Linked DNA regions of Callithrix jacchus. The protein of the gene in region 2 purifies or fractionates together with the protein of the main gene of each other region. This does not show direct contact. Links are inferred from orthologs where the notes say so. Each region holds a gene or a part of one and is shown on either strand. Other genes may lie near its edges.

The links.
Region 1: the proteins of SNRPA1 (region 2) and SF3A3 purify together in Homo sapiens (affinity purification with mass spectrometry; 6 studies listed by BioGRID and IntAct, counting the BioPlex papers as one, with this or other methods). This does not show direct contact. The link is inferred for Callithrix jacchus from reciprocal best matches to the Homo sapiens genes SNRPA1 and SF3A3.
Region 3: the proteins of SNRPA1 (region 2) and DDX46 purify together in Homo sapiens (affinity purification with mass spectrometry; 3 studies listed by BioGRID and IntAct, counting the BioPlex papers as one, with this or other methods). This does not show direct contact. The link is inferred for Callithrix jacchus from reciprocal best matches to the Homo sapiens genes SNRPA1 and DDX46.

The regions. Positions count from the first base shown.
Region 1 is NC_133508.1:74,552,937-74,562,901, reverse strand, and holds part of SF3A3 (splicing factor 3A subunit 3), read left to right. Parts: intron 1-3,411; coding exon 3,412-3,484; intron 3,485-3,909; coding exon 3,910-4,001; intron 4,002-5,963; coding exon 5,964-6,046; intron 6,047-6,730; coding exon 6,731-6,869; intron 6,870-7,583; coding exon 7,584-7,652; intron 7,653-8,047; coding exon 8,048-8,115; intron 8,116-8,280; coding exon 8,281-8,388; intron 8,389-9,965. UniProt on the Homo sapiens protein: Component of the 17S U2 SnRNP complex of the spliceosome, a large ribonucleoprotein complex that removes introns from transcribed pre-mRNAs.
Region 2 is NC_133507.1:8,682,659-8,692,723, forward strand, and holds the start of SNRPA1 (U2 small nuclear ribonucleoprotein A'), read left to right. Parts: upstream 1-3,638; 5' UTR 3,639-3,704; coding exon 3,705-3,786; intron 3,787-6,389; coding exon 6,390-6,537; intron 6,538-7,499; coding exon 7,500-7,578; intron 7,579-10,065. UniProt on the Homo sapiens protein: Involved in pre-mRNA splicing as component of the spliceosome. Associated with sn-RNP U2, where it contributes to the binding of stem loop IV of U2 snRNA.
Region 3 is NC_133503.1:33,228,924-33,238,888, reverse strand, and holds part of DDX46 (putative ATP-dependent RNA helicase DDX46), read right to left. Parts: coding exon 9,819-9,965; intron 5,814-9,818; coding exon 5,637-5,813; intron 4,346-5,636; coding exon 4,127-4,345; intron 3,185-4,126; coding exon 3,040-3,184; intron 1-3,039. UniProt on the Homo sapiens protein: Component of the 17S U2 SnRNP complex of the spliceosome, a large ribonucleoprotein complex that removes introns from transcribed pre-mRNAs.

The DNA.
Region 1 (9,965 bases), on a different chromosome or scaffold from region 2:
TGTGGTTTAGGCTATCCTGGCCTAATCCTGCTTTCTCTTCCTTTTTACCTTCACAGAAATTACTCTTCCCAATAAATTGTGCTTCTAACTCTGTCTTGAAGTCTTCTACCTAGAGGATCCAGTTAACAAGATAATTTTACTCATTTCCAAAGTTCATTTCACATTAAGGATTCAGCTCAGAGGCAAACTCTTTCATGAAATATTTTTCCTAGTCTGCCTTCTGCCGAAAATCAGTCTTTCTTTATGATCCTATTGGTTTTTTTGTTTTGAGATAGAGTCTTACTCTATCACCCAAGCTGGAGTGTAGTGGTGAACCACTCTGTCTTTGGGTTTAAGTGATTCTTCTGCCTCAGCCCTCAAGTAGCTGGGATTACAAGGCAGGCAGATGCCACGTCCAACTTTTTTTTTTTTTTTTTTTTTTTTTTTTGAGACAAAGTCTTGTTTTTGTCGCCCACGCTGGAGTGCAATGGCTCGATCTCAGATCACTGCAACCTCTGCCTCCCAGGTTCAAATGATTCTCTTGCTTCAGCCTTCTGAGTAGCTGGGATTACAGGCACCTGCCACCACACCTGGCTAATTTCTTTGTGTTTTTAGTAGAGGCAGGGTTTCACTACATTGGCCAGGCTGGTCTGGAACTCCTGATCTCAAATGATCTGCCTGACTTGGCCTCCCAAAATGTTGGGATTACAGATGTGCACCCCTATACCCGGCCCCTAATGTATTTTATGACAATAAATGTCTGCCCTGCCATACCGTAATGTAAAGAGCAGGATTTATGTCTCAATTATCTAGAACCCACACGGCACTTTACACAGCTGACCAAAGGGGTCAATGGGGCAAGATATGGCTGCAGGGAGGGTGGAGAAGGATGAGTCAAAAGATTATTCTGAGTTTTTGTGACTATAACTAGAAAGTTGTTTGTTCTCTTGATAGAAATAAAAGGCTAGCCATGGTGGCTCATACCTGTAATCCCAGCACTTTGGGAGGCTGAGGCAGGTGGATCACCTGAAGTCAGGAGTTCAAGACTAGCCATGGCCAACATGGTGCAACCCCATTTCTACTAAAAATACAAAACTTAGCTGGGCATGGTGGCAGTTGCCTGTAACCCCAGTTACTCAGGGGGCTGAGGCAGTGAGCCAAGATCACGCCATTGTACTCCAGCCTGGGCAACAAGAATGAAACTGTGTCTCAAAAAAAAAAGAAAGAAAGAAAAGAAAAGGAATAAGGAGGTAACCCATTTGCCATAAGAAATAAGTTTTTATATATGTAAATTTTTAAATAGAGGTATATCTAGGAATAGAAATGTCTCTTGAGCAGTTACCGCCACACAAGAAGTAAAGGCTTATGATTTAGAATTGGGAATCATCACATTGATTTGTTGGTTGATAAATCCTTGAGTTCTGAGGCAAGAGAATGTGAAGGGAGTCTGTCAGAGCCTCTCCATATGCCTTGGAGCTCACTTGTAATAAGGTGGGTCATAAAAAAAGGGCCTGGGAAGACCTTCATCACTGCTCCAGGTGTTGTCAAAAGAGAGATTCAGAAAGGCAGTCATGGTTACCGATTGATAACTTCCAGGATGGCTATTTAATTCAAGTAGTAGGAATAGAAATCTGGTCACAAGGTAAAGATGGGTAATGGAGAAGTAGAGGTATGGAATGTGGAATGTGCATTGGAAAGGCTGGTAGGGGCCGGAAGCAGTGCCTCATGCCTGTAATCCCAGCACTTTGGGAGGCTGAGGTGGGTGGATCACCTGAGGTCAGTTGTTCAAGACCATCCTGGCTAACATGGTGAAACCCCATCTCTACTAAAAATAGAAAAAATTAGCTGAGCGTGGTGCGACACGTCTGTAGTCCCAGCTACTTGGGAGGCTGAGGCAGGAGAATCGCTTGAACTCGGGAGGTGGAGATTGCAGTAATCATTCCACAGTACTCCAGCCTGGAGACGGAGTGAGACTTCATCTCAAAAAAAACAAAAAAGCATACATGTTTGAAGGAGCACAGGGAAAAAGGAAGATATTAAATATAGCAAAAAAAAAAAAAAAAGAGGCTATTTATTGTAGTGCAGAGGTAAATGAAGGCACCCTCATGCACATAGCCCCATTGAAGGATAGAATGTGAGGTCTTCTGCTAACCAAGAGAGAATAGATAAATACCATTCTGTTGTGTTAACCTTATTCCAGCCATGGTCAAAAGGTGATGAGGAATAAATGGTTGAATGACTGATTAGAAGGATGTCCAAGGTATACCAAGTGCCAGAAACAGGTCTTTATGTAAAAAATAAAAATCTGTGCAGGCATGAATGTGCTTGTACAAATACATATATTTAAATCCATAGAGCAGTGGTTTCCAAACTTTGTGCATATTTGAGTCACCTGGGGATTTTTAAAAAGTACTGATACTTAACCATCCTCTGATTTAATTGGTATTGGGTGCATCAGGATTTTTTTTTTTAAACTCCCCCAGGTGATGCTAATGTGCAGCAAAGTTTGGCAATCACTGGCATAGAAAAAACTGTTACAGTGGTTACCTGTTCCGAGGATAATTAATAAAGGTGGACTTTTGTTTTTTCTTTTTGTATTGTTTGAGGTTTTCTGAGCATATGTTACTTTAGTGAGTTTTACTCAAGCAGTATAAAAGTGAGGGGAGAACAAGGTAATTGAAGAACTACTGTTCTGGGTAGACTCTTAGTGAAAAATCAAGGCCATATATAGCATCAGAAGTCCAACTTTCTGTGTACTTCATTTCTGTGATCTTGTAACTTTTACATTGAAAATTCTACCTGAGGCTGGGCGTGGTGGCTCATGCCTGTAATCTCAGCACTTCGGGAGGCTGAGACAGGCAGATCACTGGAGCTTAGGAGTTTGAGACCAGCCTGGGCAACATGGCAAAAACCTGTCTCTACTAAAAATATAAGAATTAGTCAGGTGTGGTGGAGTGCCTGTAATCTCAGCTACTTGGGTGGCTGAGGCAGGAGAATCGCTTGAACCCAGGAGATGGAGGCTGCAGTAAGCCAAGATTGTGCCACTGCACTCCAGCCTGGGCAACAGAGCGAGAGTCCATCTCAAAAAACAAAAAAAATGAGGGCCGGGCGCGGTGGCTCACGCCTGTAATCCCAGCACTTTGGGAGGCTGAGGCGGGTGGATCATGAGGTTGATACCATCCTGGTCAACATGGAGAAACCCCGTCTCTACTAAAAATACAAAAAATTAGCTGGGCATGGTGGCAGGGGCCTGTAATCCCAGCTACTCAGGAGGCTGAGGCAGGAGAATTGCCTGAACCCAGGAGGTGGAGGTTGCGGTGAGCCAAGATCATGCCATTGCACTCCAGCCTGGGTAACGAGTGAAACTCTGTGTCAAAAAAAAAAAAAGAGAAAGAAAGAAAAATCCACCTGAGCTTTCACTTTTCCCTTCAGATCTGTGTGCCAATGTCAGTGGAATTTGAAGAGCTCCTGAAGGCTCGAGAGAATCCAAGTGAAGAGGCACAAAGTGAGTAGAGGTGAACATTTCATTCAACACCAGCAGCAGTTACAGGTCATGCAGCCATGGCCTCAGATATTGATAACCAGGTTTTCTTGTTGGTTTTGTCTTTGCTGCTTTCTGGGCTAGAGTGACATTCTAAATTGGTCTTGGGCAAAATGTTTCTTTTGTTCTCTCCTACCTAAAATTTACTGGCTTGGAAAGCCAAGCATTATTCACTTTAGTTCACAATACTAAAATGAGTCAGCCCATGTTACCTTGTAAGAGAACACTCACTTTTGATCTCACTTATTGGAGGTTATATTGTGAGCACAGGGAGGATATTTGGGTGACATGCTGCCTCAAGAAACTAGGAACAAGCAGTCCATTTGAAAAGGTAAGTTCAAGAGAGTGGTCTGTAGAATCTGAATCATTGATGTATTTGATTCCCTCAGACTTGGTGGAGTTCACAGATGAAGAGGGATATGGTCGTTACCTTGATCTCCATGATTGTTACCTCAAGTACATTAACCTGAAGGCATCTGAGGTAAGACCTGGGAGAGGAGAGAGAGATTCTGATTCTAGAGGTAAGTCAGGACACTAGGCTGGGACTGCTAGACGTGAAGCCATTGTAGAGTGTCTTGTGTTTTCAAACTGTTATGTAAATAATATCAAAGAGGTGATAATGAAATACTATTCAAAATGAAAATTTTCTACAGTGAAAACATTTATTAATAAATTTTATTTTTATTTTATTTTTTTTGAGATGGAGTTTCGCTCTTGTTACCCAGGCTTGAGTACAATGGCGCGATCTCGGCTCACCGCACCCTCAGCCTCCTGGGTTCAAGCAATTCTCCCGCCTCAGCCTCCTGAGTAGCTGGGATTACAGGCACGTGCTACCATGCCCAGCTAATTTTTTGATTTTTAGTAGAGACGGGGTTTCATCATGTTGACCAGGATGGTCTCGATCTCTTGACCTAGTGATCCACCTGCCTTGGCCTCCCAAAGTGCTGGGATTACAGGCTTGAGCCACCACGCCCGGCCAATAAATAGTATTTTTTTATTTTGAGATGGGGTCTTACCATGTTGTCCAGTCTGTAATGCAATGGTGTGATCTTTGCTCACTGCAACCTCCACTTCTGGGCTCAGCCTTCTGAGTAATTGAGACTGAGACTACCACCACACTTGGCTAGGTTTTTTTTTTTTTTTTTTTTTTTTGTAAAGATGGGGTTTTGCAGTGTTGCCCAGTCTGGTCTCAAACTCCTCACCTCAAGTGATTCTCCTTTTTCGGCCTCCCACAGTGTTGGAATTACAGGCATGAGCCATTGTGCCCAGCCCATTATCAATACAACAAGTTTTGTTTTTTTTTTTTTTGAGATAGGGTTTGTTTGTTTTTCTTTCTTTTTTTTTTTTTTTTTTTTTTTCTGAGACAGAGTTTCCCTCTGTCACCAGGCGCCAGGCTGGAGTGCAGTGGCGCAGTCAATCTTGGCTCACTGCAACCTTCGCCTGGGTTCAAGTGATTTTTCCGCCTCAGCCTCCCGAGTAGCTGGGACCACAGGTGCGTGCCACCACGCCCGGCTAATTTTTTGTATTTTTAGTAGAGACGGGGTTTCACCATGGCCAGGATGGTCTCGATCTCTTGACCTTGTGATTCGCCCACCTTGGCCTCCCAAAGTGCTGGGATTACAGGCGTGAGCCACTGTGCCTGGCCTAAAATTCTTATTTTTAAAAATAATTATCACGTTCCTGTTTTAGGTACGTGGAAGATAAAACAACTTGATCTTTCTGTCAGCAAAAAGCTATTTAATGTCTTTTCTTAAAGATGTTTAAACATAGCTTATCACATTAATGTCTTTTCTTAAAGATGTTTAAACATAGCTTATCACAAGAGATGAGGTTTAATATGACAATATCAGAAGAGTCACCAGGAAATACATGATTAGATTCTTCATGGAGTTGTGAGGAAATGTCCCAGAAGTACAGTGCCCAAACTTGAAGTTCCATGGGGGCAGGTCAGGTCCCTTGTCTGTTTTGTTGTCTTCTATACCCTGTACTTGGTACAAAGATGCTCAATAAGTGGTTACGTGTGTGAGTAAATGGCAACTTTCAGGACCTTACTTTAGGATATTAGAGTCTTTAACCAAGAGCCCAGCATGAGGTAATGATCAACAAATGTTTCCTTTAGTTTACTGTTTATTAATGTGATCTTTATTTTGTAAAGTTAATTATGTCTGATATTTGCCTGATATGTTTATTTTGTAAAGTTAGTTATGTCTGATATATTCCTACTTTATTTTGTAAAGTTAATTATGTCTGATATTTTACGGTCCAGTGAAATTAACACTCCAAATTGTAGTAGGATTGAATTATGGGAAAGCAAAAAAACCAAAATGGCCAGCCCTTGTTACCTTGTTAGAAAACACTCAATTTTGATCTCACTTAGGAGGTTATAACTTGTTCCAGTATAAATACCTAACTAAATTTTGTATCATTTCTTTCCTCTTTTCAGAAGCTGGATTATATCACATACCTGTCCATTTTTGACCAATTATTTGACATTCCTAAAGAAAGGAAGAATGCAGAATATAAGAGGTAGGTGTTAAGAGCTTCTATGCCTCTCCTGGATTTGATTAGAAGACAGTGTGAAGGTTTTGAGGGTGAAGTTACGAATTAGTTGCTTGGAAGGCATACATGAAGGCGTACTTCCTTCATACATGAAGGTTTATTGGAGGCTAAGGATTATAAATGATGTGGTTTTAAAACCTTCGAGATACTCTGGTTGTGGGCAAGGGTGTATCTGTGGACATATCTTCTATCTTATGCCCATACTGTTCTTAATTTTGTCTCACTGTAGAAGGAACTCTCCCACTCTGGGACTTCTGTGTTTTTGGAGTTTAATGGGAAAAAAATTAGACTTTCTCAGATTGTGACTGGAGTGAGATGCTTGGGTATGATGTATAAGTGAAAAATGTATGTTTTTGTTAGTTGCTCCCCTTATTAGTGATTTTATACCCTTTCTCTCTTTTTCTTATTTTCATTTTCCTGAAATATTTTCTGTGCGAGATTAGCATTATTTCATGAGAATAAAAGGAGGTAGGAAAGGTCAGAATCAAAATGATATGTCAAGAAAAAAGTCCGTTATAGGTTCATTTAAAAATGATTATTAAAAAATACTATTACTAGAATTATAAGTACTATTTATTCTACAGGGAATATAACAAGATACCAAAAATATAAACCCTTTTTGCTTTCTCTTTGTTACGTGTTCCTCTGTAGATACCTAGAGATGCTGCTTGAGTACCTTCAGGATTACACGGATAGAGTGAAGCCTCTCCAAGATCAGAATGAACTTTTTGGGAAGATTCAGGCTGAGTTTGAGAAGAAATGGGAGAATGGGACCTTTCCTGGATGGCCGGTGAGCTACAGTGGGGTGTGAATGGTGGACATGCCAGGGAATTGAACTGATTATTTTCCTTTATCTTGAGCTTCCACTTTAGGGCATTAGGTATCAATTCCTTGGTATCATTTGTGACCATGAGGTATTCCCTGCCGAGTATGCTAGGTTTTTCTGTGTGTACTTTGGAGCAAGATTATCAGGGCCCACTTGCCTTGGACTGTGCCCAGATTTTCGCCAATCATATCATTACTGCCATGTGGTTTCTGCTTACCAAAAGCTTATTCAATCATATGTTAGGAATCTGTATTCTTGCTTGTGGGGATAAACCTGAGTTTTTCCTGAACTCCCCAGGCAGGGAATGTGGACCAACTTTACCTTCATCCTAAACCTGTTTTGTTTTTTTGTTTTTTGGAAGCAAGTTTTCCATCTTGCTCCTAGGCTGGAGTGCAGTGGCACAATCATACCTCACTGCTGCAGCCTCAACTGCCTGGACTCAAGAGATCCTCCCACTTTAGACTCCTGAGTAGTTGGCACATGCCACCATACCCAGCTAATTCATGTATTTTTTTGTAGAGATGGGGTTTCACCATGTTGCTGTGGCTGATCTCTTAACTTCTGAGCTCCAGCAGTTCACCCACCTTGGCCTCTCAAAGTGTTGAGATTACAGTTGTGAGCCACCACGCCCGGCCTAAACCTGGACCTTAATAAATAACATGTTGTTCTTCTTTCCAGAAAGAGACAAGCAGTGCTCTGACCCATGCTGGAGCCCATCTTGACCTCTCCGCATTCTCCTCCTGGGAGGTATGTTTCCTTCAGCGGTAGTACTGTTCTCCCTGTCTATCTTTCAGAGGGACCACTTGCTCTCCTGTCTTTAATACCGTGGTTGTGTTGTGATAAGGCACTCTTTCCTGGGATCAAGCATCTACAAAGAAGGTAGCAAGGTAAAAAGAAAAAAATAACTACTTGGGAAACTGAAATAATCGCTCTAACTACATTAAGCTGTAGTAACAGTAATAGTTAATACCAGTATGTTTAAGTCTGAAGATGACTACAGGCTCAGTCCTCTGGAGAGTTTAGACTTACTGCCAGATCGGCTATGAAATGTGTGGTCCTGCCACAGCCTCAGGAACACCCACCCACTGGCCTGCATTTGTTGTTTCCCAAAAATCTCAATTGTACTTTTTCTCTTTGTACAGGAGTTGGCCTCTCTGGGTTTGGACAGATTGAAATCTGCTCTCTTAGCTTTAGGCTTGAAATGTGGCGGGTAAGGAATGGTTTTTCTATCAAAACTGTTTGATTTACTGTGTGTTTGCACAGTCTTCTAAGTAGCTCTGATTACGTATTTTTTTCTGTTGCTCCAAACTGCAAAAATAAGCAAGCCTGTGTGATAAAGTAACCCTGAAATCCTTTGCCTGTTCTGTCTCCTTAGGACCCTAGAAGAGCGAGCCCAGAGACTATTCAGCACCAAAGGAAAGTCCCTGGAATCACTTGATACCTCTTTGTTTGCCAAAAATCCCAAGTCAAAGGGCACCAAGCGGTGAGTGGCTGGGGTAGCACCTCTCTTTGTGGCTTTTGAATGTCATTCCCATGCACAATTTTTAACCACAGTGGAGATTTTAAATTAGAGTCTGCTTTATTCCCATTATTGGTTGACAGATTCAGCCTGCTCTTTTGTATTTTAAGTAGAGACGGGGTTTCACCATATTGGCCAGGCTGATCTTGAACTCCTGACCTCGCAATCTGCCGGCCTCGACCTCCCAAAGTGCTGGGATTACAGACGTGAGCCACTGCGCCCAGCCAAAAAATATTTTTCTAAGCTTATTTTTGGTAATGAAAGTTGAATCTAATTCTTGAGCTGCATACTTATACAGGGTCTTTTCTTTTTTTTTGACACACAGTTTCGCTCTGTCACCCAAACTGGAGTTCACCTCCCAGGTTCAAGGGATTCACTTGCTCAACCTCCTGAGTAGCTGGGACTACAGGTGTGCACCACCACACCTGGCTGATTTTTGTATTTTTAGTAGAGATGGGTTTCGTCATGTTGGCCATGCTGGTCTGCATCTCCTGAGCTTAAGTGATTCACCCACCTTGGCCTCCCAAAGTGCTGAGATTATAGGTGTGAGCCACTGCACCCAGCTGAGGGATTTTTTTTTTCTTTTTTGAGATGAAGTCTCACTCTTTTGCCCAGGCTGGAGTGCAGTAGCACAGTCTTGGCTTATTGCAACCTCTGCCTCCCAGGTTTAAGTGATTCTCCTGCCTTAGCCTCCCGAGTAGCTGGGATTATAGACACCTGCCACCATGCCTGGCTAATTTTTTGTATTTTTAGTAGAGACAGGGTTTCACCATGTTGGCCAGGCTGGTTTTGAACTCCTGACCTCAGGCAATCCACCTGCCTTGGCCTTCCAAAGTGCTGGGATTACAGGTGTGAACCACTGTGCCCACCTAATTTTTGTATTTTTAGTACAGACAGGGTTTCACCATGTTGGCCAGGCTGGTTTTGAACTGACCTCAGGCAATCTACCTGCCTTGGCCTTCCAAAGTGCTGGGATTACAGGCATGAGCCGTTGCACCCGCCCAATTTTTGTATTTTTAGTAGAGACGGGGTTTCACCATGTTGGCCAGGCTGGTCATGAGTGCCTGACTTCAAGCGATCCTCCTGCCTCAGCTTCCCAAAGTGCTGGGATTACAAGCATGAGCCACCGCGCCTGGCCCATTTTCTTAATGCATGTTTTTTTCTAATTCTTACAACAACCCTAAAAAGTAATTGTTATTCTGAGTTTTTACAGATAAGGACCCAGAAAAGTTATGGTATGTGTCCACTCTCTCATAGTTGTAAGTAGCAGAGTCAGGATTTGGGCCCAGGTCTATCTACTGCAGAACTTGCTCTTCTATATCACATTTTTTTGTAGATTATAATGATGGAAATTTAAGTGCTCTTGATATGTCTTTCACCTTCTAGATGAGGTCATAGAGGAAGCCTCCATGCATTCTAAGAAATATTTCTGTCAGAGTCACGAGATGACAGAGCATTTGCTTTCACAGGATGTCATTTCTCGTGTTTATAATTTTTAATGCAGTGTGCAGTAACTGTTCCCAGATATAGGGAGCAAAGCA
Region 2 (10,065 bases):
ATATTCACCACAGACATATCTCACAAAGATTCCTATCTAAAAAATATAAAGAGCTCCTACAAATCCATTTTTTTAAAAAGCCCAATAGAAAAACGGGCAAAACACCTAAACAAACATTTCAATAAAGAGGTTATTCAAATGAACATAAATATATTTTTTAAAGTTCTCAACTATGTTAGTAATCAGGGAAATACAATTAAAACCACAATGTCATACCATTACCAATCTACCAGAATGGCTAAGATTAAAAAGACAGACAATACTAAATGTTAGCAAGGAGTTTAAGTTGGTACAACCACTTTGGAAAACTTATGTTCTACTTAAGCTGAACATAAGTAAACCCTATGACCCAGTAATTCCATCCCTGGGTATATATCAGTATATGTGTTCAAAGACATGCATTATAATGTTTGTAGGTATACTATTTATAACACAAAAGGTCCAAAGTAAAAATTAACCAAATGCTAATCAACAGCAGAATGGATAAGTAAATTGTAAAACATCCACAATTAACTACTATATTACAGTGAGAATAAATGAACTATATCTACACACAAACACAATGTTAAGCAAAATATATGTAAGGTACTTCGTTTGCATAAATACAAAATGAGGCAAAGCAAATCTATACAAGATGTCAGGCTAATAGTTACCCTTGGGGCAAGGGTGGTGGCTAGACTAAGACGGGAGGAGGGCTTCTAAAACGCGACAATGTCCTGTTCTTATGAGGATGTTATTTGCTTGAGTCTGTTCAGTTTGCACTTTTCTCTGTGTATATCATACTTCAATAAAAACTCAAGAAGAGAGGCCGGGCGCGGTGGCTCAAGCCTGTAATCCCAGCACTTTGGGAGGCCGAGGCGGGTGGATCACGAGGTCAAGAGATCGAGACCATCCTGGTCAACATGGTGAAACCCCATCTCTACTAAAAAAAGTACAAAAAATTAGCTGGGCATAGAGGCACTTGCCTGCAATCCCAGCTACTGGGGAGGCTGAGGCAGGAGAATTGCCTGAACCCAGGCGGCAGAGGTTGCGGTGAGCCGAGATCTCACCATTGCACTCCAGCCTGGGTAACAAGAGTGAAACTCCGTCTCAAAAAAACAAAACAAAACAAAACAAAAAAAACTCAAGAAGAATCAAGTCAAGGTGGATTATAGAACTAAATGTGAAAGGCAAAACAATCTTCTAGTAGGTCACATAGGAAAATATGATGGGGGTAAGGAAAGATTTCGTAAGGCACATGCATGTGTACGCACACCCAACCCATTGACGTAAAGAAAATAATCGAACTACATAAAAATCGGAAACTTCTCAGCCGGGGGTGGTGGCTCATGCCTGTAGGCAAGTGGATCACTTGAGCTCAGGAGTTGGAGACCAGCCTGGACAACATGCTGAAACCTCATCTCTACAAAAAATACAAAAATTAACCAGGACTGTTGACCTGTGCCTGTAGTCCTGGCTATTCAGGAGGCTGAGGTGGGAGGATCTCTTGAGCCTGAGAGGTCGAGGCTGCAGTGAGTCCTGATTGAGCCTGAGAGGTCGAGGCTGCAGAGAGTCCTGATGGCACCACTGCACGCCAGCCCAGGTGACAGAGCGAGACTGTGACTCAAAAGAAAAAAAAAATTCTAATCATCAAACAATACCATTAAGAGTGGAAAGGCAAGCCACAGAGCGTGTTCATATCCTTTATAAAGAAATTCCCCACATCAGTAAGAAAAAAGGCAGACAACTCCGTAAGGAAAAAACTGAGTAAGGGACTTGAAAAGGCACTTAACAAAGGAAGCTATCAGAATGGGCAACATACACATGAAAGGTTCTCAGCTTCATTAGTTATTAGAGAAAAGAAAAGAAAAGCAGTAGAGCAGTAACCCCACACACCCATGAGAACGACTAAAGTGAGACACTTAAAATGCCGACACGGCTGAAGCTGGAAGCCATGAAAACCCTTACACGCGGAGGGAGTGTGTATTTCAGCCTCTTAGCATGACTGTTGGGCATTACTTATGGATGATACATATCACACCCTAAGTCCCAGCAATTCCACTCCAGGAGAAACTCATCCACATACCCGAAAATTTACAGCAACATTACTCAGAATAGCCCTAAACTGAAAACAACCTTGATGTCCATCAACAGCAGAATAAGTAATTGAAAATTACAGTATAATATATACAATGGAATTTTCTTCAGCAGTGCAAGCAAACAAACCATCTCTGTATGTAACTTGGATGGACTCCAGACATAACATAGACGCAAAGAAACTAGGCCAAAAAAAAAAAAAAAAAAAAAAAAAAAAGGATACTGTGGGATTCTATTTATTTTTTCAGTTTTAAAAATTTATATTTTTTATTGTTATTTTTTAGTTTTTTCCAAATTTTTTTTACTTTTTTTTTTTAATTATACTTTAGGTTTCTGGGGTACATGTGCTGATCATACATGATTGTTGGGTAGGTACACACATGGCAAAGTGGTTTGCTGCCTCCATCCTCCCCCACCCCATCACCTACATCTGGCATTCCTCCCCATGTTATCCCTCCCCGACCTGCCCCCACTCCCCGCTGTCCCTCTCTTGTCCCCACCACAGACCCCAGTGTGTGATGCTCCCCTCCCTGTGTCCATGTTATCATTGTTCAATGAGAGTTAGAACATTCGGTGTTTGATTTTCTGTTCTTGTGTCCTTTGCTGAGAATGATGGTTTCCAGATTCATCCATGTCCCTATGAAAGATGAGAACTCATCGTTTTTTATGGCTGCATAGTATTCCATGGTGCATATATGCCACATTTTCCTTGTCCAGTCTATCACTGATGGGCATTTGGGTTGCTTCCAGGTCTTTGCTATTGTAAATAGTGCCGCTATGAACATACGTGTGCATGTGTCTTTATAACAGAATGATTTATAATCCTTTGGGTATATACCCAGTAACGGGATTGCTGGGTCAAATGGAATTTCTAAAACGAGTCTGTGGTGTTGAGTTTGCGGTTGCCTTTGCGAAGAGGGAGGTTTTCAAAACAGTGGGTTTTTTTTGGATCCCGGCGTCGGCTATGCAGTTGTGTTCACTCTGGTCATTAGTCACGCTGTAAACACCTGATTTGCACACTTTTCTGTATATCATACTTTATATGAATATTCAGAAGTCTAAAGGCCGCAAACCTAACGGCAAACCCTACCGTGCCCGCGACCGGGTTGCACTGGCGGGGCGGTGGAGTTGTCCCAGCGACCTGCCCCGGGCGGGTCACCTAGCCCGGGAGCTCACGCTGTAGCCTGGGGCCAAGGTCTAGGCTCGGGACAGGTACCTGAACTCGTCGACCCTTCACTGAAGCCCACGGGTCCCCGCGCCTGCTGGGGACAATCACAGCTTCCCCTCCCACCTCAAGGTGAGCTAGTGCATGAGAAAGTTCCCCTCGGGTGTTTCCACATTCGCCTTAACTTTTAAACACCAACGTCTGGAATCTGAGGTCCATCAGACTCCAGATACACCCCAGGAAAGAACCCAGAAACAAACACGTCCCCAGCGCGCGCGCCAGGACTTGGGGCCAGAACAACCCCGGGGGCGTGGCTCTTCGATTGCTTCGGCCTGGCGGTCGAGCTGCGCGCGCACTCGGCGGATGCGATTGGTGCTGCCTGGCGGCGCGGCGCGGCGCGGGGCACGTTGGGACGCAGGAGGCAGCGTCCTTTCGGCTACGCTGGGAAGCCAGAGGCGGCAGAATGGTCAAGCTGACGGCGGAGTTGATCGAGCAGGCGGCCCAATACACCAATGCGGTGCGCGACCGGGAGCTGGACCTCCGAGGTGAGTCCGGGGGCGCGGGCGGGCAGTCCCAGGGCGGCACTGCGCCGCCTTACGATCCGCGCTCCGCCGCGTGCACCGAAGGCCGGAGCTTGGCCCGCGGGTGGGTAATCTAGACCCGGATCGGGCTGCGCCGAGACCGCCCTGCCTGATTCTTGCCGTTGTTGCCAAGCGCGCGTCCCGTTAGGCTCTTGGGAGCCTTCTGTTACTGCTGTGCCTCCTGAGAAGCACGGGTGATTTCATTACTCCCTGCTGCATGCTCGTGGGGCTCTGTTAGGCCTTGCTTGGCTGTTTCGTAGCGGACTCTGAGGGCCGGGAAGAGCGACTCATTAACGGTGGTAACCCTAGTGCAGGGCGAGTGATTGGTTCTCAGTACTTGCCGCCAGATGATATTGTGAGTGTAGATAGGATATGTCTTCATTATTCTTAATGTGATGGAAGAAACTAAGTCCCCGAACAAAAGCGATTGTTTACCCCAGTATTTTCTTTCTTTCTTTCTTTTTGAGACGGAGTTTTGCTCTTGTTACACAGGCTGGAGTGCAATGGCGCCATCTCGGCTCACCGCAACCTCCGCCTCCTGCGTTCAAGCAATTCTCCTGCCTCAGCCTCCTGAGTCGCTGGGATTACAGGCACGCGCCACCATGCCCAGCTAATTTTTTGATTTTTAGTAGAGACGGGGTTTCACCATGTTGACCAGGATGGTCTCGATTTCTTGACCTCGTGATCCTCCCGCCTCGGCCTCCCAAAGTGCTGGGATTACAGGCGTGAGCCACCGCGCCCGGCTACCCCAGTATTTTCTACTTAGTAGCTTTAATTGTTTGGCGTTTCCCCTTCGTGAAGACGTTTTAAAGATTGAACTGTTTCACCCAGGCTTCCACCGCCGGGTGCTGTGTGTAAGTTGCGGAAGCGCTCACAATTATTTAGATTCCTGTACTATTTCAACCTTAGTAAGACTTGGTAAGAAATTGGGAGGGCAGTTAGCTAGTTGGCATTTCAGGAGACCGCTTTAGAAAGAATGTGAAGAGCAACTTCTCTGGGGTACGGCAGTGCAGTCGTAGCCTGAGATTCCCACGGGGACCTATGGTCTCGGGATTTGCTTTGATTTCTTGCTGACCTTTGGGGAATCGCATTGTTTTGTGTTGTGTTGTGTTGCGTTGAGATGAAGTCTTGTTCTTTCCCCTTTGCTGGAGTGCAGTGGTGTGATCTCGGCTCACTGTAAACTCTGCGTCCCTGGTTCAAGTGATTCTTGTGCCTCCGCCTCCCGGGTAGCTGGGATTTCAGGCATGTACCACTGCGCCTGGCTGATTTTTGTATTTTTAGTAGAGATGGGGTTTCACCATGTTGGTCAGGCAGGTCTTGAATTCTTGACCTCAAGTGATCTGCCCCCGTTGGACTCCCAAAGCGCTGGGATTACAGACGTGAACCACCGCGCCCAGCCCCCAGTTTTTTCTTTCTTTCTTTCTCTCTCTCTCTTTCTTTCTTTCTTCTTTCCTTTTTTTTTTTTTTTTTGTCTGAGTTTTGCTCTTGTTGCCCAGGCTGGAGTGCAATGGCACAATCTTGGCTCAATGCAACCTCCCCCTCCTGGGTTCAAGCGATTCTTCTGCCTCAGCCCTCCCCGCCTCCCCCGAGTAGCTGGGATTACAGGCATGTGCCATCACGTCCGGCTAACTTTATATTTTTAGTAGAGACAGGGTTTCTCCATGTTGGTCAGGTTGATCTCGAACTCCGGACCTTAGACGATCCACCCACCTCGGCATCCTAAAGTGATGGGATTACAGGCTTGAACCACCGCGTCTGGCCCAGTATTTTTATTTTGTTGAATTTAAGTTTCTTAGAGAAAGGTTCAGTTCAAGAGCAAATCATCACTTACGGTGATCTCTGCCATTTCTCTCTGTGGAGTGCGTGCAGTGTTGAGAATACTTCTTTTGATGCAGTACTTGTAGTACAGCCCTGAGTTGTGTACTTTAACTTTGGCTGAGTTTTTTTTTTTTTTTAAATAGACCTTGTTTCTTTGGAATATTTCTTTTAGCTCCTAACATAATAATGCCCAACTTAGACAAATTAAGTATGTAAACCATTGACCTCCAACTGTGAATTGGAGCTGGGGGAGAGAAGGGAGAACTGTCATCTTGAGGCTGTTCTGATGGGTTCTAAGAATCTGGCCTGTGGGGGTGCAAGAGGTGGAGAACTGTTGTCCACGGTGTTGGAACCTTGTTTGGGCACTGAAACTGAGCAGCCCGAAGTGGTAAATTCCTGTTGTGCTGCTTCCGCCTAACTAGCCCTGAAGACGTAGAACAGTGTGCACCTTGTAAATGGTCTTATAAATGTTAGCTAACTATCTCACCTATCATTACTGTCCTTGTCCCTGTTGTCATCAGACTGTAAGCTTCATGGCACTGGGGACTTGCCACCCTCATTCAGCATTTTATCTCTAGTACCTTGTGCAGTGGCAAGGCGTAGGAAACATGGCGTAGGTGCTAGGTAAGTAATACTTCCTGAGTGAATCAAGGCCTGGAGTCTGATTCCTGTGAAATACTGCTCATCTTTTAAGAGGCTGTTTAGTTATATTAATACCTCTTGTGTGTTTTTTTTCCTCCATTTTACAGGGTATAAAATTCCCGTCATTGAAAATCTAGGTGCTACGCTAGACCAGTTTGATGCGATTGATTTTTCTGACAATGAGATCAGGAAACTGGATGGCTTTCCTTTGCTGAGAAGACTAAAAACATTGTTAGTGAACAACAACAGAATATGGTAAGGGTCTGCTGGGGAAAGTAATTTTCCACCTGCGGTAAATGTTGCAGTGTTCCCTGAAGTTGCAGCACATACTACCAGTTAAACCTATGTGTTTCTTTTTTTTTAGTTTTTATATTTTTTCCATAATGGGAGCCATGTTCAATACATGTTTCTTCTTAAAATGAGAAATGAACTTTTCCTTTAGAGATGCAGAGATTAACCTGGCGTTAGTCTAGTCTTACTTGTGTCTATTCCGAAATCATGTGTTTTTGTTTTCGTGGTAAGTTTCTAATTTAAATTAAAAACATGGTGCTTTGTACACATTTTGGCTTCTAAAACACTTATCAAAGGGGTCATAGTAAAAGGATATAGAAAAGTAACGATTATATTTTTGACTGAGCTTCTCTGATATTTTTTTTTAACTGCAGCTAATTTCTAGACTGTTAATTACTGAAATTGGGGTCTTTTTTGGCCCTGCCTTCATCAGCTCTGTGTAAACTTTATTGGAAAAAAAAGCACTCGGTTTATAGATACTGTCTTTAAAAGTGCTGGGTGGTGAGTGGGATTTCCTTCAGATAGAAATCTTTTTCATAGGTTCATTATTCCCCTGTAGTGTAGTTGCTGTGTCTTGTACCTGAGCTGTGAATGCAGAATAATTTGCATTTCTCTGCTGCCTGCACAAAAAGTCATGAAGAGAGTTAAGCAGTTTGTGCCGCCCAGAGTTGCACCTTTTCTCAGGTTCCGCTAGATGGGGCGGCAGCATTAGCTCCAGGCAGTGTCCCGTAGGCCTGGGTTCGTCCCACTTCTGTCACTGACCCTGTGTCCTCAGAAAAGGGTTCTTCTTTTTGCCTTGTTTCCTCTTCATCAGGGTGTTGGAAGAAGGATCTGTAAGTGTCTCTCAGATTCTCTGAGTAGGGAGGTAGATGAAATTGTTAGCTTATTTAATTTTCATTTTTGCTAAGACTCTCTTTTTATTTTAGCCGTATAGGTGAGGGACTGGATCAGGCTCTGCCCTGTCTGACAGAACTCATTCTCACCAATAATAGTCTCGTCGAACTGGTAAGCTGCATAGAAGGAAAATGTATTTGGTGGGTGGAGTTAAAGGTACTATGTGCTTCCTACAGAAATTTACAAATTCTAGAAAATCTCACAGAAAATAATCTCCTCTTTTTTACCTTTTTCCTAAGTCAGGATCTGGGCCTTTTGGGTTCTGCAACTGTATGTTGCAAATATTTTCCTACTGTTACTTATCTTTTGACTTGGGATGTCTTGTTAGAAAAGTTCCTAATTTAGGTACAGTTCAGTTTATCAATCTTTTCCTTTATTGTAGCAGTTTTGATGTTTAAGCTTCCCCTAACCCAGGGCCATAAAGTCCTATGTCATTTGCTGGAATTGCAGTGTCCAGTAACTCAAACTGAGATGTGCTAGAGCTAGAGAACACACGCTGGATTTCAAAGACTTAAGTGCAAAGAAAAGGAAACTCAGTAACGTCTTTATATCGATGTTGAAATGATAATGTTTTGGATAATGGCTTAAATGGCATATTACTAAAATCGGCTTCGCCTGCTTATTTTAACATGGCTACTAGAAAAGTTTAGATGACGTGTGTGTGCATGAGATCTTGTTGAACAGCTCTGGTCTAGAAACCTTGCTTTACTCTTCTTCAGATGAACCGTCCCCTTGGAACTTGGGGCAGGTGTCCCCTGCACTATGTGGATATGATTATTTTGACCTATTTATTTATATACTGTTAAAATTTCTGCTCTTAGTATCTAATTTTTAACGTAACTGACATACTGTATATTGTATTGTAACCTAAATTTTCACTTAAACACTGGACGTTTAAATTCATGTTGTAGGCCAAGTGCCATGCCTCCTGCCTGTAATCTAAGCACTTCAGGAGGCCAAGGTGGGAGGATCAGTTTAGCCCAGGAGTTCTAGACCAGCCTGGGCAACATGGTGAGACCTCTTTTCTATGAGTAATTAAAAAAAAAAAAAAAAAAAAAGGCTGGGCGCAGGGGTTCATGCCTGTAATCCCAGCACTTTGTGGGGGCTGAGGTGGGCGTATCACCTGAGGTCAGGAGTTCGAAACCAGCCTGGCCAGTATGGTGAAACCCTGTCTCAACTAAAAATACAAAAATTAGCTGGGTGTGGTGGTGGGCGCCTGTAATCCCAGCTTCTCGGGAGGCTGAGACAGGAGAATCGCTTGAACCCAGGAGGAGGAGGTTGCAGTGAGCTGAATTCGCACTACCGCACTCCAGCCTGGGTAACAGGGAGATTCCATCCCCCTCCAAAAAAATTAGGCAGATGTGGCAGTGTGTATCTGTGGTCCCAGGTACTCCAGAGGCTGAGGTGGGAGGATCGCTTGAGCCCCAGCAGTCAAAGCTGCAGTGAGCCGTGATCATGCGACTGCACTCCAGTCAGGGCAAGAGAATGAGACCTCAGCTCAAAAAAACTGTAAACTTAATTTTGGTTTATGACCTAACCTTCCTTATTGCCCTGATTGTCGAGAATGAACTGTGTTCACTCCTTGTGGACAAGGTCCATAGCATCCTTCAGATTCTCCAGGAGATGCTTAACTACAAACATAAGAAAGCACTGGTCCATGGCCATGTGAGTACATGAGTACAAGTGTGTGAAGTACTCAATTCGAAATACACATTTATAGGCAGTGTGTCTCATGACAGGTGTGGTTAAAGAACTTGAGTTGTATTTAAAGCTCTTCGCTCTTGCGCTTATCAGCATGGTAGTGGATTTGACTGTCCTGAAGTTCTGCTGATCTTAGTTTTATATATTTTGAAGTTGCCTTATTTGATACATACAAATTTTTAATTATTAATATCTTTCTGGTGAATGGAACCTTTTTATTATGTTGTGACTCTCTATCTCTTAGTGCTGTTTACCGTGAGGCTTCTTTTACCTGATATACCAAAACAGTCTTTCTTTCGGTTAGTATTTGCATGATACATCTTGTTCCACCAAAGTTCTGTACCTCTTGTATTTTAGATTTATCTCTTGAAAACAGGGTATTCTTGGAATTTTTAAAATCCAGTCTGAAAGCTCTTAAAAAGTTAATTCACTTAAAGTGAATTATTTATATTTAGTGTATTTACATTTGATGTAATTACTGGCGTGCTGAGGTTGTCTTTTCTCTGTTTGTCCCACCCATTCTGCCATCCTTTTTCTCTCCTTTATTGTACATGCTCTCTGTCATTCCATTTTTCCTTCTGATGGTTTAGAAATTATTTACTCTATTCAGTCTTTAGTTAGCATCCTAGGGATTAAAACACACATATTTATCAACGTTTAAAATTAAATGCTAAGAGCACTGTACTGTGACCTTCAACATTTAATTTTAAACTTTGATACATTTACTCTCTTAAATGCACAGTACAGTGTCCTTCAGCATTTCATCACCCTTCAGCTTGTTCCATATTTATTCTTTTTTGAAACCCATCACTACCTTACCATTATGTTTTACACTGTGTATGTAACAACATTATCACTTTGTTCTTTTTTTTCTTTTTCGAGACGGAGTTTCGCTCT
Region 3 (9,965 bases), on a different chromosome or scaffold from region 2:
AAAAGCTAGACTTAATGACTAGCTGACATCAGTAGCCACACATGAAAAAGAATAGAGACTACTAAAACAACGGTTCAGAAATGTCACTGAACAACAATAAGCAGCAGGAACAAACAATAGGGAGTGGGGAAAAATCTGATTTCCAATTAACATGATAATATTCAAAATGTCCAGTTTTCAACAAAAAACTAAGAAGCAAGCAAAAAAAAAAAAAAAAAAACAAAAAACCAGAAACAAAACAAAACAAAAAAAGTATGACCTGATCACAGGAAAAAAATAAACAGAAACTGTCCCTAAAGAAATCAAGGTATTAGGCTGGGTGCAGTGGCTCACACCTGTAATCCAAGCACTTTGGAGGCCAAGGCGGGTGCATCACCTGAGGTCGGGAGCTCAAGACCAGCCTGACCAACACGGTGAAACCCCTTCTTTATAACAAAAAAAAAAAAAAAAGAAATCAAGGTATTAGACTTATTAGACTAAGATTTTAAATCAACTATTTTAAATACATGCAAATAGCTAAAGAAAGCCACAGATAAAGAACTAAAGAAAACCAGGACAATGATGTCCAATTAAATAGATAATATTATCAATAAAGAGATAGAAATAAAGAAACTTTGTCATGGAAATGAAAAATTCATTAAAAGAGTTCAGCAGCAGATTTGATGAGACCAAAGAAAGAATGACTAAGCTTGAAGGTAGGTCAACTGTAATCAAATCAGAGAATGCAGGAAAAAAATAAGTAATGAAGAAAAATGAATAAAGCTTAAGAGACCTGTAAGACATCATCAATTTCAACAACATATGCACAATGTGAGTTTCAGAGGAGATACAAAGGGGCAGAAAGAACAGCTGAAGAATTAACAAAAATCCCCAAATTTGATGAAAAATATGTATATATGCATACCCAAAAATCTAAAACAAAACCCAAAAACCCTCTAGGAGACCCACACAGAAGCACAAAATAAAACTATCAAAAGACATCAGTAGCCACACATGAAAAAGAATAGAGACTACTAAATTCTGGAAAAGCAACCTATCACTTATTACAAGGGATCCTCAATGAGATTAACATCAGATTTCTTTTCAGAATTCATGGAGGCCAGAAGGCAATGGAATGACATTCAAAGCACCAAAGGGAAAACAAAACAAAACTATCAAGCAAGAATTCTATGGCTAGAAAAGTATTCTTCCAAAATGAAGGCAAAAAAGAATTTTTTAAAGGTGAAATTGGCCAGGTGCGGTGGCTCACACCTGTAATACCAGCACTTTGGGAGGCCGAGGTGGGTGAATCACGAGGTCAGGAGATCGAGACCATCCCGGCCAGCATGGTGAAAGACCATCTCTACTAAAAATACAAAAAAAAAAAACAACCCAAATTGGTGGCATGCGCCTGTAGTCCCAGCTACTCAGGAAGCTGAGGCAAGAGAATTGCTTGAACCCGGGAGGCGGAGGTTGCAGTGAGCTGAGTTTGTGCCACTGCAATCCAGCCTGGCAAAAGAGAGAGACACTTGTCTCAACAACAACAACAACAACAACAAAAAAGATGTTAATTGCAATCCACTGGGTAACCACTAAGAAAATACCTGGCTAGGCGCAGTGGCTCATACCTGTAAGCCCAGCACTTTGGATGGCCAAGGTGGGTAGATGACCTGAGGTCAGGAGTTCAAGACCAGTCTGGCCAACATGGTGAAACCCCGTGTCTAATAAAAATACAAAAATTAGCCAGGTGTGGTGGTGTGCACCTGTAATCCCAGCTACTTGGGAGGCCAAGACAGGAGAACCGCTTGAACCCAGGAGGCAAAGGTTGCAGTGAGCCGAGATTGCGTCACTGCACTCCAGCTCTGGGCGACAGAGCAAGACTCAGTCTCAGGGAAAACAAAAAGTGTGACAGGGTATCCTACTATGCAACGGAGTAACACATCAGAAAAAATAAAATAGGCTGGGTGCATTGGCTCATGCCTGTAATCTTAACACTTTGGGAGGCTGAGCAGAGGCAGTTCACTTGAGCTCAGGAATTGAAAACCAGCCTGGGCAACATAACAAAACCCCTTCTCTACAAAAAATACAAAAAAATTAGCTAGGTGTGGTAACACGGCCCTGTAGTCTTAGTTGGAAGTGCTCAGGTAAGAGGATCACTTGAGCCCTGGAGGTTAAGGCTGAAGTGAGCTGAGACTGCACCACTGCACTCCAGCCTGAGTGAAAAAATAATTAAAAGTGGAAATTGCCTCTGGAATAAATTCATTCATAAATGTATGAAATAAAGTTAAGAACCGGCCAGGTATGATGGCTCACACCTGTAATCCCAGCACTTTGGGAGGCTGAGGCCGGTGGATTAAAGGTCAGGAGTTTGTGAGACCAGCCTGGCCAATATGGTAAAACCCCATCTCTACTAAAAATACAAAAATTAGCCAGGCATGGTGGCAGGCGCCTGCAGTCCCATCTACTCGGGAGGCTGAGGAAGAAAAATTGCTTGAACCTGGAAGGGAGAAGTTGCAGTGAGCCAAAATAGTGCCACAGCACTCCAGCCTGGGCAACAGAGCAAGACTCCATCTCAAAAAAAAAAAAAAAAGAAAAACCTGATTGCTGTTAGATAATGTAATAATGTATTATTTGTATCCATTAGATTATGGCGTTAATTGTCTACTTGTTATTTTGTTAAAGGTATAAACTTTCATGAGCATAATTTCACAGGCAATATTTGCCTAGATAAACATTCATTAAGTGGATTAATATAGTTGATTTACATTCCAACCTAAACTTAGGCCAGAATATACCTAAGCATAAAAAGGTCAGTCCTCAAAATGTTGTTTTAATTTTCAAATTTGATTTGTCAAAACTGAGTCTCACAAACAGATCATTTACTTTTACATACGTACTGAATTTCTAAATAAAGACCTCAAATGACATGAAATTTTTTTGTCAGAGGCGTTCCTTACTTTCAGTTCTCTCTAGAATTGACCTCACATTCTCTCTGTGTCTATTACATCTACATCAACCTTGATCTAAACTGAAGACTGAAACAGAACCAACAGCACATACTTTCAATTGCCAAGTAAATCTTCCGCTCGCCCTCCTTGGGTTCTTTGCCAGGAGGGAAATATGTTCCTCTGATTGTAATTGCAGCTTCAGAGTATTCACTGATTCTCTGTAGAGCTTCCTTAGAGGTAACTTTCCACCTAGCAGTCTAAAAGAAAAGGTAAGGAAAACAAAAATCACTTCACAACAAGACAAAAAAACCCAGGAGTGCTAACAAAGACTAGGCTGACTGATATCACATTATGGTCAATATATATATATATTTTTTGGAAACAGAGTTTCGCTCTTGTTGTTGAGGCAGTGAGATCTTGGTTCACCACAACCTACACCTCCAGGTTCAAGTGATTCTCCTGCCTCAGCCTCCCGAGTAGCAGGGATTACAGGCATGTGCCACCACGCTCAGCTATTTTTTTTTTTTTTTTTTGTAGAGACGGGGTTTCACCATGTTAGTCAGGCTGGTCTCGAACTCCCGACCTCAGGTGATCCATCCACCTCAGCCTCCCAAAGTGCTGGGATTACAAGTGTGAGCCACCGCGCTTTGCCCTATGGTCAATATTAAGATCATTCTTGGATAGGCGTGGTGGCATGATGTTGTGGCTCATTCCTGTAATCCCAGCACTCTGGGAGGCCAAGACAGGAAGATCACCTGAGGTCGGGAGTTCGAGACCAGCCTGAACAACATGGAGAAACCCCATCTCTACTAAAAATACAAAAAAAATTAGACTGGTGTTGTGGCACATGCCTGTAATCCCAGCTACTCGGGAGGCTGAGGCAGGAGAATCACTTGAATCCAGGAGGCAGAGGTTGAAGTGAGCCAAGATCACACCACTGCACTCCAGCCTGGGCAATAAGAGCGAAACTCCGTCTCAAAAAAACAAAAACAAAACAAAGATCATTATTAACACATACCTGCATAAGTTCATTTAGATCCTAAGGTACACTGAACATATTCATAAAAGTCAAATTTCTATTGTTACATCCTCCATTTAGGTAAAAAGTGAAGTAGCTATTAAAATATTCATGGGTTTTAAAGATGAGATTTTTGCTTTTTCTGCTTCACAATAAAAAAAGGTTTAAAACTGTTACTTGCCTGTGGGAAGTCATTGATCTCTAATTCTTCTTCATATCTCTTAAAAGATTCATTCTGTCCACCATCCTGTCTCTCTTCTTCTTGTTTCTCTAAAGGCACATAATTGAGCTTGGCATTGATCTTTTCAGCAAGTTGTTCTGCAATGGTTTTTGCAGACACCGTGGGAGCCAGAATGGTGCCACCTCTAAGAATTGCATTGGTGGCCTGTTGCATCACATCCTGTAGTTAGAGAAGACTTACAGTTAAATCTCAAATGAGGGCAGAGACAAGAGTAGGGAACCCACCACAAATTATTCTCTGAAAAGCTACTAACTTTTATGCAAGTTTAATAAATAAACACTTCTAATGCATAGCCCCACTGACATGTGATTTAGCAATACATAATTATAACATAGTTTAATGTTTTTCCCTGTGAATAAAAAAACTGGAAAATATTCAACTCTCTATTATATATTCTACTAGATCATAGAGATGCAGCTGATAATTAACTAACTCTTGATGTCAGATACAGTAAATATTTCCAGAATCATTTACATACTTGGTAACTCCTAGGAGTTTCCTCCAAATTTGAAAGTTTATACTACTACCATCACTGAGTTCCTTCCTCCCCATGACCCAACCCAGCATTAAAAATGTGATAATGACTGACTCAAAAGCTTCAAAATAACAAATACGCTTCCAAGAAAGAGGTATCATGAAATATGTAAAAATTACATTTCTCCATTTAAGCCCATGTTAATTTGAGTCATTTAACTAGGTGTTTGTACATCCAGGGAGTTGTATGCCCAATAACCCAATGAAAGCTTATAAAGAAACAGAATTATTCATACATCTTAACGGTTTTGTTAAGACCCATCAGAATACTACTCTATAAAACTACCTATGGCTAATAGTTAGAAAGTCTAGAACAGGCATAAAGTCCTCAGTTAATAGCACTAGAAAAATCATCCAAATACAATTATAAAAAAAAATCCTATGTTGAGAATGTTAAATTCTCACAAACTCAATGTCCAGGACAACTTGTTTACTTGTGCTCAACATAATCCTTGAAAAATAAAATCAAAGAACTTATTAAAAGTTTTAGCTTGGTGCAGTGCCTCACACCTGTACTCCCAGCACTTTGGGAGGCTGAGGTGAATGGATCACCTGAAGTCGGTAGTTCGAGACCAGCCTGACCAACATGGAGAAACCCCATTGCTACTAAAAATACAAAATTAGCTGGGTATGGTGACACATGCCTATAATCCCAGCTATTCGGGAGGCTGAGGCAGGAGAATCACTTGACCCCAGGAGGCAGAGGTTGTGGTGAGCCGAGATCATGCCATTGCACTCCAGCCTAGGCAACAAGAGCAAAACTCAGTCTCAAAAAAAAGAGTATTGACTGAGACTTGGAACAAATTACTTAATACCTGAGAGCACACCATTGTACTCCTGGCCTGGGCAACAAGAGCAATACTCTGTCTCAAAAAAAAAAAAATGTATTGACTGAGACTTGGAACAAATTACTTAATACCTGAGACTCGATGCCCAAATTCTTCTGAGCATTGATTCTAAGAGCCAATCTCTTAGCAATTTCTAATTTCTCAGCATTTCCTGCAGTTGGAGCAGGAACACTTGATGTTCCAGGGGCAGCCATATCCTTTACTCTCTTCTTTGAATTAAACATGCTTTCAATTTGCTCATCAATCTAGATCAAAAGCAAAAAAAGGACAAGTAAAAAAACTGAATTAGAAATACCAAATTAGGTTATTCTACAGAAATAAATAAGGAATGTTTCCACCAACAGGCTGGAAATATTTATGCAAATCCTACTACGTAGATCAATGGGAAAATATACCACCTATTTGTTAAAAGTCACATGTCTCATTTCAAATATCAGTTGTCTATGGTGGGAAAAAAAACAGAAACAGAGAAACAACACTGCATGAACCACTTCATCAGACTCCTGAGAGGCCCAGAAACTACATCCCTGTTCAATAAATGAGGAAACATGTGCTGTCAAGACAGAACAGCAAATATGATGCAGCTGAGTTGCCCCAGGGCTCAAGCCTTGAGACCAAATTATACTGCAATGAAAGAGGCTGGAAAAAGGGCTATAACTCAAGGTCAGTGGCCAACTAAAAATACAGTCAATAATTCTCAAGGGGAATAGTATAACACGTTCCTAAGGCAAAGCTCTCAAAACTCTTCCTAACCCATAAAATGCAATTGGATTTGCCTTGAAAACTGGGTAACTGAACCAGAAAAGGCTTATTCCCTTATTCCTTTGAATCAAGAAAGGAAATAAATGCAGGTTGTTTCCCCATCAAGGCAAGTGCAATGATGAAAGCTTTGTTTTGACAGAAGTCACATGAATGCTACTGCTATGTACATTTCTTTTTTAAAAAAATGCCTTTTGCCCAACAATGACTACTGATATCACTGACTATAGAAATACAAGCCCCTTCAGAAATTTACATTAGATTAATAAAGCTGTATCTTCTAGATCTCAAATGCACAGAAGTTTCTTTAGGGCTTAAAACTTAATTAGGTTAATTTACAAAAGTCTTTTACAGAAATAAAAACAGTCCATTTAACTTTTTGATTTTTTTGAAACAGGGTAGCCTCTAACTCCCAGGCTCAAGGGATCCTCACACCTCGGCCTCCCGAGTAGCTGGGACCACAGCATGCACTACCACGTCCAGCTAATTTTTAAAAAACTTTTCATAGAGACAAGGTCTCCTTGTCTAGGAGAGTATTGAGCTCCTGGGCTCAAGCTATCCTCTCACCTTGGCCGTCCAAAGTGTTGGGATTATAGGACATCACACCCAGCCTTAGATTCTTCCTAAAACATTCACTACCTATTAAGGGGTTTTAGTTATGGCCAGGCACAGTGGCTCACTCCTATAACCCCAGCACTTTGGGAGTCCAAGGCAGGAGTATTACCTGAGCCAGGAGTTTGAGACCAGTGTGGGCAACATGGCAAAATCTCATCTCTACAAAAAATATAAAAGTTAGCCAGGTATGGTGGCACACGCCTATAGTCCCAGATACTCAGAAGCCTAAGGTGGAGAATCACCTGAGCCCAGGAGGTTGAGGTTACAGTGAGCCAAGATCACACCATTGCACTCTAGCCTGACTGACAGAGAGACCTTGTCTCATAAAAAGAAAACAAAACAAAAAACCAACAGGGGGTCAGTTTATCAACTACTTTTAAAACTCAACATTTACCTGAGTAAAACTGTTTTAAATTAAATAGGATGCATGGTATTACAATCTGAACAAATTCATAAAATCAGGAATGGGGGAAGTATACAATGCTAGCTGATAGAGCTAAACTTACTTTTGATTTTATTCATGTTAAGTACTGTTCATTTTTCATAAAATTACATATTACTTTAACACCCAAAGAAACAATCACCATATTTTATCACGAGATTTCTTTTAAAAAATGTTAAAAGTACAGCAGTCTTCCCTTATTCACATGGAATATACTCCAAGAACCCCAGTGGATGCCTAAAAACACAAATAGTGTCACGCAGACATACATTGTTTTTTCCTATACATACATAACTATGATAAAGTTTAATTTATAAATTACGTACAATAAGAGACTAACAATAATAAAATAGGACAACTGTAACAATATACTGTAATAAAAGTTATATGAATGTGGTCTCTCTCTCTCAAAATACTGTAATAGTTTCAGACCGTGATTAACCTATGGCAACAAAAACCACAGATAAGGGGAAACTACCATAATATCGAGAAGTGACAGATGTTTTTAAAACATGGCTACAAATTCATAGTCTTTTTTCCTGAGTGTGGGCTGGATTTAAGGACTTCCTTCTAATACAATGGCTGGGCATGGTGGCTCATGTCTGTAATGCCATCACTTTGGTAGGCTGAGGCAAGAGAACCATTTGCGGCCAGGAGTATGAGACCAGCCTAGGCAATATAGTGAGACCTCCACTCTACATAAAAACATTTTTAAATATATATTAACAAGGCATGATGGTACACCTATAGTACCAACTATTCGGGAGGCTGAAGTGGGAAGACTGCTTGAACCCAGGAGGCAGAGGCTGCAGTGTGCTTAGTTTGCGCCACTGCACTCCAGCCTGGGTGACAGAGCCAGACTCTGTTTCCAAAACAAAACAAAAACCCACAAATAATAAAGTGGAAGTGACAGTGTGTAATTTCAGAGACTAGTCATAAAAAACACTAAAGCTTTCTCTTTGCTCTCTCTCCTGGATCGCTCACTGTGGGGAAAGCCAGCTGCCATGTGGATAAGGAGAGGCAAAGAGGTGAAAAACTGAGGCATCCAGTAAACATCAGAGTGAATGAGCCATCTTGGAAGCAGATCATCCAGCAACAGCCAAGCCTGCAGATGACTGCAATCTCATGACAGCCTAAGCCAGAACTACCTGGCTAAACTGCTGCTGATTTCCTGACCCTCAGGTACTATGATAATAAATGTGTATTGCTTTAACCTGCTAAGTTTTGATTTGTTTCATGGCAACAGATAAATTTAAAAATAACTTTACTGGCCAGGCGCAGCAGCTCACACCTATAATCCCAGCACTCTGGGAGGCCAAGGCAGGTAGATCACCTGAGGTCAGGAGTTTCAGACCAGCCTGGCTAACAGGGTGAAACCCTATCTCTACATCTCTATCTAAAAATGCAAAACCCCACCTCTACGTCTCTATCTAAAACTATAAAAATCAGCCAGGTGTGGTGGCAGGGGCACCTGTAATCCCAGCTACTCAGAAGGCTGAAGCAGGAGAATTGCTTGAACCCTGGAGATGGAGGATGCAGTGAGCCAAGATCATGCCACTGTACACAAGCCTGGGCAACAGAGCGAGATTCCGTCTCAAAAAATAAAATAAAAATAAAAATAAAAAAACAAATACTTTATTACATTTTGAGCTAGTATGGTATCCTAGAAATAAATGGTTTAGGGTTAATGGAACACCTGGGTTCCGGTCCTGACTCTGTGTATTCTACTATGGTCCTGGACCTAACATCTTTTCTTGGAGTCAATTTTCTGATGATAAGATCAGATTGAATTCCTGATTTCCAACCATGTTTTCTGAGCTTAAGTTTAGTGTGTTATGTCAAAAAATGTTCTGTGATCAGATACGCTGGGGAATTTCTGGGTTTAACTAACAAAGTTAAACAAGCTTCCTTACAGACTTTTCATATCCACAGCCGGGTGCGGTGGCTCACACATGTAATCCCAGTACTTTGGGAGGCCGAGAAGGGTGGATGGCTTGAGGTTGGGAGTTTGAGACCAACCTCACCAAGACAGTGAAACCCCGTCTCTACTGAAAATACAAAAATTAGACAGGTGTAGTGGTGGATGCCTGTAATCCCAGCTACTCAGGAGGCTGAGGCAAGAGAATTGCTTGAACCTGGGAAGTGGAGGTTATAGTGAGCTGAGATTACGCCACTGCACTCCAGGCTGGGTGACAGAGTGAGACTCCAGATCAAAAAAAATTTTTTTCACATCCTTTGATGTGCTAATGAGTGGTCTACATATCAAGAGGAGGAGTACTGGTATGTACTAGGCAGATTTTCCAAAACTATTCTAGAACCATCCTCTCCCAAAGAAGGTTTCCAATGATTAGTTATCTTGACAAGCATATGACAAGACCTCCAGTACAAAAGAAACAATCACTTCAATTAAGAATGAAAGAATAACCGAACTTACATCAACTGCAGCATCCTCATCATCTGAATCTTGCAGACCAAGAGCTGCTTTTTGTAACTTCTTCCTCTCATTAGCCAAAGCTTGTTCTGTTTCATCAAACTTGAATCCCTTACCAGAGAACCCACTACTCTTTTTAATTATTTTCCC